4 linked regions of the Saccharomyces cerevisiae S288C genome follow. The protein of the gene in region 3 interacts with the protein of the main gene of each other region in a biochemical or structural test. Each region holds a gene or a part of one and is shown on either strand. Other genes may lie near its edges. The genes, in order: CYC7, COX17, MIA40 and HYR1.

The links.
Region 1: of the proteins of MIA40 (region 3) and CYC7, one has a biochemical effect on the other in vitro, tested with the Saccharomyces cerevisiae proteins (one study listed by BioGRID).
Region 2: the proteins of MIA40 (region 3) and COX17 form a complex in vitro, tested with the Saccharomyces cerevisiae proteins (2 studies listed by BioGRID).
Region 4: the proteins of MIA40 (region 3) and HYR1 interact in a test that uses a peptide from one of them, tested with the Saccharomyces cerevisiae proteins (one study listed by BioGRID).

Annotation. Positions count from the first base shown.
Region 1 is NC_001137.3:78,755-81,907, forward strand, and holds CYC7 (cytochrome c), read right to left. Parts: upstream 1,224-3,153; coding exon 882-1,223; downstream 1-881. Other genes in the region: chitin transglycosylase UTR2, read left to right, coding at 1-702; putative acireductone synthase UTR4, read left to right, coding at 1,708-2,391; RAD23 (Rad23p), read right to left, coding at 2,653-3,153. UniProt on the Saccharomyces cerevisiae protein: Electron carrier protein. The oxidized form of the cytochrome c heme group can accept an electron from the heme group of the cytochrome c1 subunit of ubiquinol-cytochrome c oxidoreductase.
Region 2 is NC_001144.5:130,218-133,254, forward strand, and holds COX17 (copper metallochaperone COX17), read right to left. Parts: upstream 1,198-3,037; coding exon 988-1,197; downstream 1-987. Other genes in the region: PSR1 (phosphatase), read right to left, coding at 1-396; DRS1 (putative ATP-dependent RNA helicase), read left to right, coding at 1,512-3,037. UniProt on the Saccharomyces cerevisiae protein: Copper chaperone for cytochrome c oxidase (COX). Binds two copper ions and deliver them to the Cu(A) site of COX.
Region 3 is NC_001143.9:74,056-77,850, reverse strand, and holds MIA40 (Mia40p), read right to left. Parts: upstream 2,031-3,795; coding exon 819-2,030; downstream 1-818. Other genes in the region: threonine--tRNA ligase MST1, read left to right, coding at 1-593; palmitoyltransferase YKT6, read left to right, coding at 2,317-2,919. UniProt on the Saccharomyces cerevisiae protein: Required for the import and folding of small cysteine-containing proteins (small Tim) in the mitochondrial intermembrane space (IMS). Forms a redox cycle with ERV1 that involves a disulfide relay system.
Region 4 is NC_001141.2:420,996-424,206, reverse strand, and holds HYR1 (peroxiredoxin HYR1), read right to left. Parts: upstream 1,080-3,211; coding exon 588-1,079; downstream 1-587. Other genes in the region: GTT1 (bifunctional glutathione transferase/peroxidase), read left to right, coding at 1-398; sepiapterin reductase family protein IRC24, read left to right, coding at 1,342-2,133; NRE1 (sepiapterin reductase family protein), read left to right, coding at 2,417-3,181. UniProt on the Saccharomyces cerevisiae protein: Involved in oxidative stress response and redox homeostasis. Functions as a sensor and transducer of hydroperoxide stress.

The sequences.
Region 1 (3,153 bases), on a different chromosome or scaffold from region 3:
ACTTATAACGCCACCACCCAAAAATATCAATACCCACAAACCCCATCCAAGGTGGATATTTCCATTTGGCCAGGTGGTAATTCTACCAACGCTCCAGGAACCATTGCATGGTCTGGTGGTGAAATTAATTGGGACGCATCCGATATCAGCAACCCAGGATATTATTATGCTATTGTCAATGAAGTTAATATCACATGTTATGATCCACCAAGCGATACCAAGAAGAATGGTACTTCTGCTTATGTGTATACTTCGTCCAGTGAATTTTTGGCCAAAGACATTGCTATTACCGATGATGAGGTCATGATGGACAGTGATGAGGGATCTGGCTTGGACCCACATAAGGGAGCTACCACATCTTCCACCCAAAAGAGTTCTTCCTCAACTGCAACCTCTTCCTCCAAAACGTCATCCGATCACAGCAGTTCAACTAAGAAGAGTAGTAAGACTAGTTCCACCGCTTCATCATCATCATCATCATCTTCTTCTTCTTCTTCTTCTTCCTCTACTGCTACTAAGAACGGAGATAAAGTCGTATCCTCCGTATCCTCTTCCGTCACTTCCCAAACTCAAACAACATCTTCTGTAAGCGGAAGCGCCTCCAGCAGTACAAGCTCAATGAGCGGTAATAACGCAGGTGCCAACGTAGCGGCAAACTGGCGTTTGACTGTTTTATGTGTCATCCTAGGTTATGTCTTATAGGAGGATCTGCATCTAAGAACAAATAGGCTACACAGGACTCTCAAAAAAAAATGTATTAATAAATAAAAGAACTTAAATATAGACTTTTTATTCGCATGCATATAAAAATAATTAATTAATAAATAACTGTAAAAAACTAGAATAATAAAAGTAATAAATATCTCCTCCGACGACATAGCCTATTTGGCAGCCTTTGTCATATAAGTAATTAAATCGTTTCTGTCCTTTTCCTTCTTCAACCCGGCAAACGCCATCTTGGTACCAGGAATATATTTCTTTGGGTTCGTCAAGTACTCGGACATACTATCCTCATCCCATTTGACGTTCTTGTTGATGTTTGCATCTGTGTAAGAATAACCCTTTACCTGACCTGAATGTCTACCAAAAATACCATGTAAATTAGGTCCAACTTTGTTAGGACCACCCTCTTCTATTGTATGACACTGCTGACACCTCGTTTTAAACAATGTAGCACCCTTTTTTGCAGAGCCTGGTTTGAATCCCGTACTTTCTTTAGCCATGTTTTGTTTATGATGTAATGTAGTTTACTGAAGTTTACTTAAAGTAATGTGAATAAATGCTTGTATGTGATCTTCTTGTATAAGTCTTTGATTTTGTTTCAACCTCAACAAAAAGAGAACTATTCTGATCTAATCTTCTCGAGCTTCACAACACGATATATATATATGTTGTGTGCCTTTGTCTTTGCCCCTTGCGGCCACTTATAGTAGTTGGAACTTGAATAAATGCCCTCGCTATTATCGCTATTAGCTTTGAGAAGGTGGGAAAAGACCCCTCGGCGGGGGACTGCAGACCCTTCTCAGAGAAGGCACGAAGGAAAATAATTCAATAAGGGGCGCTATAACCCGGCTGCTGATCCATTTCTTTTTTCGTTTCTTTTTCTTCAAGCGGAATGATAATAATAATACCAACGATGACGGTGGTGAGTGGGATGAATATGGAATGGTCATTGGGCAAAAGGTCCTGCTAGCTCGTATACCAAAAATGGGAGACAATTACTCGACTTACTTGCTTGATATTGAAGGGACAGTGTGCCCGATCTCGTTCGTGAAGGAGACTTTATTCCCTTATTTCACGAATAAAGTGCCGCAATTGGTTCAACAGGATACAAGGGACTCCCCGGTTTCCAACATTCTGTCGCAGTTTCACATCGACAATAAGGAGCAGTTGCAGGCGCATATTTTGGAGTTGGTGGCCAAGGATGTGAAGGATCCAATCTTGAAACAGTTGCAAGGCTACGTCTGGGCTCACGGATACGAATCTGGGCAGATTAAGGCGCCCGTTTATGCAGATGCTATTGACTTTATCAAGAGGAAGAAGCGTGTGTTTATCTACTCTAGTGGATCTGTAAAGGCACAGAAATTGCTGTTCGGGTATGTTCAGGATCCCAACGCGCCTGCGCATGATTCGTTGGATTTGAATTCTTATATAGATGGTTATTTCGACATCAACACTTCTGGAAAGAAAACCGAAACACAGTCTTACGCCAACATCTTGCGGGATATCGGTGCGAAGGCTAGCGAGGTACTGTTCTTGAGCGATAATCCATTGGAATTGGACGCAGCGGCCGGCGTTGGAATAGCTACTGGGTTAGCTTCCCGACCTGGTAATGCACCTGTCCCCGATGGGCAAAAGTACCAGGTATACAAGAATTTTGAAACTCTTTAACAAAACTGTATATATGCGCTAAAAGCAGTATAATCATTATTTGTTGTTGTTATTATTATTATTATTGTTATTATTATTATTATTATTATTATTGAGATTAATATTACCATCTCTCTGTTTTCTTTTCTTTCCCTTCTAGCATATATAAATACACATACGTTATTGATTTCTACGTAAGCTTTTTTTTTCCCTTGGCTCAAAAATCATGCAACATTGTCGAGAATAAGTGAAGATACTTCAAGCCATAACATTACTACAATCTCAGTCGGCATGATCGCTGAATAGAATATTTGCTGCAGCTTCTTCGTTTTTATCGCACGCAAAATACACCTGGATAACAAGATCTCTTTCAAAGCCCAATTCACAGAGGCGCGAAATAGCTTGATCGTCTTCGGGGGTATAGTCAACTTGGAAAGAACCTTCACCTTCACCTTGTCCCAGTCCTGCAGCAGCAGCCTCTCCTGTAACTTCTATATCCTCTCCTTCCACCATATCATCCGCACCTTCCATAACATCTTGCATATTGTCACCCACGGCTTCTAGCAACATGGACACAAACACTTCTGGGTTTGCCATGATATGTTCACGTAATTGAGGATATCTAGCACTTATGTTTTCCAACAATGGGGCTAAAGCTTCTGGGTTACCTGAAACGACCTGTCTCAACGATAGTAAATCTTCTACAGTGAGGCCAATGGAACCTGGAGGTCCACCTTGCGCAGCATCTGTAGCTCCTCCAGTTGTGCCAAGCGCACCGGATGA
Region 2 (3,037 bases), on a different chromosome or scaffold from region 3:
GTTATCTTCATCGTCGATCTCTTCATCTTCGTCAACCTCGTATTTTTCCTCGTAAAGATCATCTTTACTAATTCGCTTCTCTACTTTTGTCATATTATTAGTAGTAGTGGCGGTGACGGCTGCAGTCGGCGACGATGGCTTCTTTTTTTCATTATCGTTCGTGCTTATCCCAGATTTACCGGTGGATCGTTCAGTGGAACTGAAAGTAGCGGCTGAATTTGTCTTAGAAGGAGGAGAGTTTGTCTGATGTACGCCACGGGTTCGGCTTTTCGTGTTGGAATGTTTAACGCTTCTGTTTTTATTGAGAGAACTGCTCTGTTGTTGGCGATAAGCAGAATTGGAATTGGATTGTGTCGTCTCGGAAGAGCAGCACAGTATTGACGATATGAAACCCATACTGTTTTGCTACTTATTGTTGTTAAAGCTTACGAACACGAATGTAGGCAAATAAAAAGCTTGGATAAACGCACAATGAAAGGGGAAGTGCGATTGATTATGCTATAAGGAATGACACGAAGAGAGCAGACTATAGGCTAGGCAGGCGATAAAGGAAGGAGTTGTACTTGACGACAACGTAATAAAGAGTTCAATGAAAGAGTATTGTGAGCAGTATGGTTCAACGAGCACTTCTTCTCGACACCTATTTCTATACTTTTTCACTTAATATACACTAACTAATCCCAGACTTTTTTTTTTTTCCGTTCTTTCCAGAAAAAAAAGAAACAAAGCAAGCGTGCCCTGACTTAGGGTTTCCTAAAAAAGTTATTAGGTTTGTGTCACGTGATACGTCCTTTTCTGGTCACGTGGTCTTAGAACACTCTTAAGGGGCCAAGCACAAGAGGACAGTGCTAGCAGTAGAAGTGGTGTAGTAGTGATGAGGTAATGTTAATTGTGCATCGCACATATTTACAGGTAGTATATACTATAGTTTGTGAATACCTATTCTTATATATACAAGAAATGGTTGTCGGCAGACTGTCAGTAAGACTAATTTGCACTTGGAACTTCGAAGCCATAACCCTTCATGCACTCTTTGTACTTTTCAATGAATTCCTTGCATTTTTCAGAGTCTTGTCCATTGAATAAGATGCATGTATCCCGCTCCTCCTTTTCTGGCTTACAAACGCAACATGGCTTAGGTTTGTCCTCGCACTCCGCGTGGTTTTCTTGTTCTTGTTTCTTGTCAGTTTCAGTCATTGGGTATAATTGATTGTGTAGTTATCTGATTGTGTACACTAAAATTTTGTTTAGTTGTACTAGAGACAAGTAGTTAGGTGGTTACTAGATTCTGATTCGCCGCTATATATCGTCATTTTATCTTTTTTTGAAGGAGATAGGTAGGGTTATAACATTATCCGGGTAATGATTTGAAAAAAAATTTTCAAAAAATGCGATGAGATGAGGTTGAAAATTGTAAGTTAGAATATGCTTAGATAGTATGAGTATTTACGTTGGTAACTTGGGTTTCGAATTGGAGCTGTGTGCCTACAACAGCGTCTTATATATATACTATGGTGGTAGGAACTAAAAAATACTCTAATTTGGACTTTGTCCCTACAATCAGTGACAGTGAAGACGATGTTCCAATTCTAGATTCTTCTGATGACGAAAAAGTCGAGGCTAAGAAGACTACGAAGAAGCGGAAGGGTAAGAATAACAAGAAAAAGGTTAGTGAGGGGGATAACCTCGATGAGGATGTTCATGAGGACTTGGACGCGGGGTTTAAGTTTGATTTGGACGCCGATGATACCACTTCGAACTTCCAAGGCTGGAACTTTCTAGCAGAGGGCGAGTCCAATAAGGACGATGCCGAAGCTTTTGTGAAGAAGGACGTTGACTTGGATAAGATTATTAGAAGAAAAGGTGGGCTGGTGAAAATGGCCCATATTGATAGTAAACAAGAAGAAGAAACCGAGAAAGAAAAAGTAGAAAAAGAAAACGATAGCGACGATGAGGAATTAGCAATGGACGGGTTCGGTATGGGAGCTCCCATGAACAATGGAGACGAAAATCAGTCAGAAGAAGAAGAAGAAGAGGAGGAAAAGGAAGAGGAAGAGGAGGAAGAGGAGGAACAAGAAGAGATGACGTTAGAAAAAGGCGGCAAAGATGACGAAATAGATGAAGAAGACGATTCTGAAGAGGCAAAAGCCGATTTCTATGCGCCTGAAACTGAGGGAGATGAAGCTAAAAAGCAAATGTACGAAAATTTCAACAGTTTGTCTTTATCTCGTCCGGTTCTTAAGGGCCTTGCAAGTTTGGGTTACGTCAAGCCTTCCCCTATTCAAAGCGCCACAATCCCCATTGCCTTATTGGGTAAAGACATCATTGCCGGTGCTGTGACTGGTTCCGGTAAGACTGCTGCGTTTATGATTCCCATAATCGAGCGTTTGTTGTATAAACCAGCCAAAATCGCTTCCACCAGAGTTATTGTTCTATTGCCCACTCGTGAGTTAGCTATCCAAGTCGCTGACGTTGGTAAACAAATTGCACGTTTCGTCTCCGGTATAACCTTTGGTCTGGCCGTTGGTGGTTTGAACTTGAGACAACAAGAACAAATGTTGAAATCTCGTCCGGACATCGTCATTGCTACCCCAGGTAGATTCATTGATCATATCAGGAACTCAGCAAGTTTTAATGTGGACTCAGTAGAGATTCTGGTTATGGATGAAGCCGATAGAATGTTAGAAGAAGGTTTTCAAGATGAACTGAACGAAATTATGGGCCTATTACCAAGCAATAGACAGAACCTATTGTTTTCTGCTACAATGAACTCCAAAATTAAAAGTTTAGTTAGTCTTTCTCTAAAAAAACCAGTAAGGATTATGATTGATCCTCCAAAGAAAGCTGCTACTAAGTTGACACAAGAATTCGTTCGTATTCGTAAAAGAGACCATTTGAAGCCTGCCTTGTTATTTAATTTGATTAGGAAATTGGATCCAACGGGTCAAAAGAGGATTGTCGTTTTTGTGGCTAGAAAAGAAACTGCTCATAGGTTAAGGATTATCATGGGTCTTTTAGGTATGAGTGTGGGTGAATT
Region 3 (3,795 bases):
ATGGTGCGTTCTATGGTCCAAAGTTGGATATAATGGTTACGGACCATTTACGCAAAACTCATCAAGTCGCTACTATTCAGTTGGACTTTCAGCTACCTGAGAGGTTCGATTTGAAATTCAAGGATCAAGACAACTCGTACAAGAGGCCAATTATGATTCATAGAGCTACTTTTGGTTCTATCGAAAGATTTATGGCTTTACTGATAGATTCTAATGAGGGCCGTTGGCCGTTTTGGTTGAATCCTTACCAAGCTGTAATTATTCCCGTCAATACGAAAAATGTGCAACAGCTAGACATGTGCACTGCCTTGCAGAAAAAACTACGTAATGAACTGGAAGCCGACGACATGGAACCAGTTCCTTTAAATGATTGGCATTTCAATGTTGATCTCGACATAAGAAACGAACCCGTAGGGTATAGGATCAAGTCGGCCATTTTGAAAAACTATTCCTATTTAATTATCGTGGGTGATGAGGAAGTACAGTTACAGAAATACAACATTCGAGAACGTGATAATAGAAAGAGTTTCGAGAAACTTACAATGTCTCAAATTTGGGAAAAATTTATTGAGCTGGAAAAAAACTACAAGTAACTTAAAATATATGACAAACTTGCCCTGTAAATAAAAGGATACGATTTGATGTATAGCTGGATTCATACAGAGACTAGACTCATCCGCCCCACAGATGCATTAATTCATGTATATTTCACATATTATACCATATGTAGTCATTAAACTAAGATAATATTACTGTATTTACATGTATCATCCTTTATACTTTTATACTTTTTACGTTCGGGAGATTTTCAGGAGATTTTAAGGTTTGGATTCCTCATTCAATGGTTCTTTTTTCACATCTGATTGCTCTGCTTTTTTCGCAGCATTTTCCTTTGCGCTTGAAACATTTGGCGCTGATTCTATTGTGTTGACCTTTACTTTGTCTTGAGGTTCCTCATCATCAGATGTTTCCTTTAGTTGTTCTGCATAATGCTCGGGGTATTTTCTGAAACAGTCTTGCATATGTTGAAACTTTTCAACACAGTCGATACCTTTTGGTTCAGCTTCAGAATAGACGAAGCAAGAAAATGCAGATTTGAACTCTTCACCACAGGGTCCATGGGCCATACCTCCCAAGCAAGGACAGTCCCAATTTATCTCACCAGTGTCTGGGTTATAAGCACCTTCGTGTTGAACCTCTTCTTCAGTAGGACCCATTTGCTTTTCCTCTTGTTTTCTTAGTTCTTCTTTCTCTTCATCGCTAGATTCAGATTGCTTAGCTGAATTTTCCGAGTCACTTACAGTTTTTTTTGAGGATTCTTCTTCTCCATTATTATCTTCAGTAGTTGTCTTGTCATCAGATTGTCCCTGTTGCGATTTTTCATCATCTGAATGTTCTGGATCTTTTTTTTCAGAAGATCCAGCATTGTTGTCTAGTGTTTTGTCACTAGTATTTTCTTCCGAGTTCTCAGAACTTATGTTTTCATCCTTTTGATTGTTAGCGGTGGCATTGTCTTCATTGGATTGCTCATCATCTTTGGTTGATACCTTTGATTCATCAGTATCTTTATCTTCGGAAGACTTGTTGTCTTCTTCTGCTAGAACAACCAATTCACCATCTTCAGCTACTTTTGAAGCACCAATTTTATCACCCCCTAATTGAGGGCCAGCTTCAGTTTCATCGTTTTTGCTGTCGTTGTCATCTCCATTTTCATCGCTTTTGCTGTTGTTGTCATCTTCATTTTCTGGTGATTGCTCACCACCACTGGAAAGCTCTTCCTCTGCGGTTTTATCGGATTCTACCTTCCTTGAGGCGAAAAGAGGCTTCCTATTAGGAGCAATAAAATATAAAGCACCAGCCATAGAAAGAATCCCCATTATAAAGCCCGCTGTTTTTTCCTGATTGGAGTTCCTACCGAACTGAGGGGAGGACGCCATGAGACGTCTTGTTTGGTGTCGGCATAACCCCCTTGCCACTTGAATTGACGGCCTGTTTCTGCACGCATTCCTGACGACTAAGTTGCGAAGCATTTTACTGATAATATACACTCTTTGGATCGAGCCTACTTCCAGTTGGTAATTGGTGTTCCACAATTTCAGCATTATATGTTTTTAAACCAAAATTCGGCTCCTTTTCCCTTTTTTTCTTATTGGGTGGCGTGCCGTACAGAACGATTGGCTTGGTGTGAAATCAAGAGCAAGCACAATAGATATCAACATGAACAATATACAAAAGTCTCTGGCACAGTTTGACTGCGTTAGACCAGGCTAGGGCATTTCTGAAGCTTTACGTATCACTAGAGAAGTTATTTTGGCAATGAGAATCTACTACATCGGTGTATTTCGCTCTGGAGGAGAAAAGGCTCTAGAGTTGAGTGAAGTTAAAGACTTGTCACAATTTGGTTTCTTTGAAAGGTCTAGTGTTGGCCAGTTTATGACTTTTTTTGCTGAAACGGTCGCTTCTAGAACTGGTGCAGGACAAAGACAAAGTATAGAAGAAGGCAACTATATTGGCCACGTTTATGCCAGGAGTGAGGGCATATGTGGTGTTTTGATCACCGACAAAGAATATCCTGTCAGACCAGCATACACACTATTAAACAAAATATTGGATGAATATTTAGTCGCACATCCTAAGGAAGAGTGGGCAGATGTGACTGAGACCAATGATGCATTGAAAATGAAGCAACTGGACACTTACATTAGCAAATATCAAGATCCTTCACAGGCTGACGCTATCATGAAAGTTCAACAAGAACTGGATGAGACGAAAATCGTTTTGCACAAAACGATTGAGAATGTTTTACAAAGAGGTGAAAAGTTGGATAATTTGGTGGACAAATCGGAGTCATTAACGGCAAGTTCCAAAATGTTTTATAAGCAAGCTAAAAAATCCAATTCGTGTTGCATCATCATGTAGATGCATCCACACACTATTTTCAGCATAGTGTGGCTTTTCATCTGCTTTATGTAATTTAGAAAGCCAATGACAGCAGCAAGGGAAACAAAAATCTTTTAAATCAAATTAATTGTTTAAATAATATACTATGTAAGCATCGATTCTCCTAACTATTATAACCAAAGGTTGATTTGAAGCCATTGGCATTGTATTAGAATTGATTTGTTTCTTCAGTGTAAAAAAGTTAAAAATAAGCGACCCCAGTGAGGGTTGAACTCACGATCTTGCGATTAACAGTCGCACGCCTTAACCAACTTGGCCATGGAGTCTAATTGCTATATTTTTCTTTTGAAAACAAGATATATAAATAATGCTTGAGCTGGAGCATTTACGTTGTAAATGTATAATTAGTGTAAGAAACCGCTGGGCCCTATTTGTTGATGAAGTATTTACTTAAATGTAACAGAATATACTGGAAGTCCCCCCTCGGGCACATGGAAATTCACTAAAAGGAATTGGTAATGCATATGATATTACTACCGTTTCTCATTTCACTTTATATGCTTTCAGTGATTGTGTTACTACGTGACAGTTCTTACAATTCAGCGCCGTTACTCTCTATGAGTGCTCTCATTATTTATATCATATTCTTACACTTCATACAATTATATATACTCGTACCATGGATATTAGAGGATAGTTGGTTTTTGTTTAAACTAATTCTATGTAACCTCGATGGCATGAGTCCATAATACTGTACTGGCGTATGCCCTTGTTTGTGGTCTTTGTGCAACCATTTCAGGCTTTCTTATTTGCACAGGGCAGTTGCGACCCTGATAAAAAAAAATGGCTGATCAATCGGCGTGGACAAAAAAAAACATCGATTTCTATATTCAT
Region 4 (3,211 bases), on a different chromosome or scaffold from region 3:
TTAACTATTATCTGTTTTATGTAGAAGGTTCCTTGCAACCACCTTTAATGATTGAGTTCATTCTTTCAAAGGTGAAGGATTCTGGTATGCCCTTCCCTATTTCGTACTTGGCAAGAAAAGTGGCAGACAAGATCAGTCAGGCATACTCTAGTGGTGAAGTTAAGAACCAGTTCGACTTTGTGGAGGGTGAAATTTCCAAAAATAACGGCTACCTGGTTGATGGGAAGTTGAGCGGTGCCGATATCTTGATGTCTTTCCCTTTGCAGATGGCGTTTGAAAGAAAGTTTGCCGCACCAGAGGATTATCCTGCCATTTCCAAATGGTTAAAGACCATAACCTCAGAGGAGTCGTATGCTGCTTCTAAGGAAAAGGCGCGTGCTTTAGGTAGCAATTTCTAAACCGTTTTGTTGCGTTCGTACGGCACTAGCAGCCGCGTAATTCGTTCACACACTTCAATACATATGTATGTATACGTATATAGTCTGTTGCGACACATAATAATTGACAGGTTTGACTAGCGAGTATGTATTATCAGGAAATATAAAAGAAAACTAAGCTTTACCTAACTTCAAAAGAAGAAGACCTGCCTATTCCACCTCTTTCAAAAGTTCTTCGATGGTTTCGGACAACGAAGAAGGTTTGGTTAGTGAAGAGTATCTTTCGTACACTTTACCCTTTTTATCGACTAAGAATTTTTCAAAATTCCATTTGATACCTCTCAAGCCCAACATACCGGATTTTTGGCTCTTCAAAAACTTGTAAACAGGGTCCTCATTGCCACCATTAACGTCAATTTTTTTCATAATGGGGAAAGTCACGCCATAGTTCAGTTGGCAGAACTGGGCAATTTCTTCATCAGAGCCAGGTTCTTGGTGGCCAAACTGGTTGCATGGGAACCCGATGATGGTAAATCCTTCGTCCTTATAACGTTTGTACAAGGCCTCTAGTTCTTTGTATTGAGGAGTGAATCCACATTTGGAGGCAACATTAACGATAAGCACCACTTTTCCCTTTAATTGGTCGAAGGGGAATGGTTGGCCTTTCTTGTCAACAGGTGCTAGCTTATAGAATTCTGACATGATAAACTTGAATACTTTACGAGATGACAGCTTGGAAGAGAGAGACGTGGAAAGCTCTGATGCTGTTTTTATTACTATTGCTTTTCCGATATTAAGGGAGCATACTGTTCCTCATGGTTTTTTCCCTCTTTTTTTCACTTTTTGACCTTTTTCGTAAAGTGGCTAAAAACGATAATGCAGAAAAAGAAGAAGGAATACAGGAAATAAGGGCTGTCGCGAACAGCAACAAGAGAAACAACTTATAATCTGTCAAAGAAGGGATATGGGCAAGGTTATTTTGATTACAGGTGCCTCCCGTGGGATTGGCCTGCAATTGGTGAAAACTGTTATCGAAGAGGACGATGAATGCATCGTCTACGGCGTAGCAAGAACGGAAGCTGGTCTGCAGTCTTTGCAAAGAGAATACGGTGCAGACAAATTTGTCTATCGTGTCCTCGACATCACGGACAGGTCTCGAATGGAAGCGTTGGTGGAGGAAATCCGGCAAAAGCATGGAAAACTGGACGGTATTGTCGCAAATGCGGGGATGCTAGAACCGGTGAAGTCCATCTCCCAGTCCAACTCCGAACACGACATCAAGCAGTGGGAACGGCTGTTCGATGTGAACTTTTTCAGCATTGTCTCTTTGGTGGCACTGTGTTTACCCCTCTTGAAGAGCTCGCCATTTGTAGGCAACATTGTCTTCGTCAGCTCTGGAGCCAGTGTGAAACCATATAACGGATGGTCGGCGTACGGCTGCTCGAAAGCCGCATTAAACCACTTTGCCATGGACATTGCCAGTGAAGAGCCCAGTGATAAAGTGCGTGCCGTGTGTATTGCACCGGGCGTCGTTGACACGCAGATGCAGAAAGATATTAGGGAAACATTGGGTCCTCAGGGCATGACACCCAAGGCTCTCGAGAGGTTTACTCAATTGTACAAGACTTCGTCACTGCTGGACCCAAAGGTGCCTGCGGCGGTACTAGCGCAACTCGTCCTGAAAGGTATTCCCGACTCTTTGAACGGTCAATATCTCCGCTACAACGATGAGCGACTGGGGCCGGTGCAGGGCTAGTACTAAACTATATTATGTAAAAGGGTATAGTTATAGTTTTTAGCTACTAAACTTTTATTGGGTTTGCGATGAGCGACAGTTTTGTGCGGCCATTTCTGTGCCAAGAACCGGATTGAATGTATCACCGAAGGAATTCCGCGGTGTTTTCAAAGAAATGAAGAGAAGACAGTATGAACATTAACTTTTGCATATATATACGTAAACGAAAAAGATCAAGTGCAATGGAAGAATATTGTACCTAAAAAAAAGGGTCTAACTACAGCGTGTAACAGGTTAAAAAAACATGGGTAAAGTTATTTTAGTTACAGGTGTTTCCAGAGGTATCGGTAAGTCCATCGTGGATGTTCTTTTCAGTTTGGACAAGGACACGGTTGTTTACGGTGTAGCCAGGTCTGAGGCACCCTTGAAGAAGTTGAAAGAGAAGTATGGCGACAGGTTTTTTTACGTTGTCGGTGATATTACCGAGGATTCCGTGTTGAAGCAGTTGGTTAACGCTGCTGTTAAGGGCCACGGCAAGATCGACTCCTTGGTTGCCAACGCTGGTGTCCTAGAGCCCGTGCAAAATGTCAACGAGATTGATGTCAACGCTTGGAAGAAGCTGTATGACATCAACTTCTTCAGCATTGTTTCCTTGGTTGGCATTGCGTTACCTGAATTGAAGAAGACCAACGGTAACGTGGTATTCGTCAGTTCGGACGCCTGTAACATGTACTTCAGCAGTTGGGGAGCTTACGGTTCTTCAAAAGCCGCTCTGAACCACTTCGCCATGACTCTGGCCAACGAGGAAAGGCAAGTGAAAGCCATTGCCGTCGCCCCAGGTATTGTGGACACAGATATGCAAGTTAACATTAGGGAGAACGTGGGGCCTTCCTCCATGAGTGCAGAGCAATTGAAGATGTTTAGAGGTTTAAAGGAGAATAACCAGTTGCTGGATAGCTCTGTGCCAGCTACAGTTTATGCCAAATTGGCCCTTCATGGTATTCCTGACGGTGTTAATGGACAGTACTTGAGCTATAATGACCCTGCCTTGGCGGACTTTATGCCTTGAGGATAGCAGGTACATATAAATTGTTACATA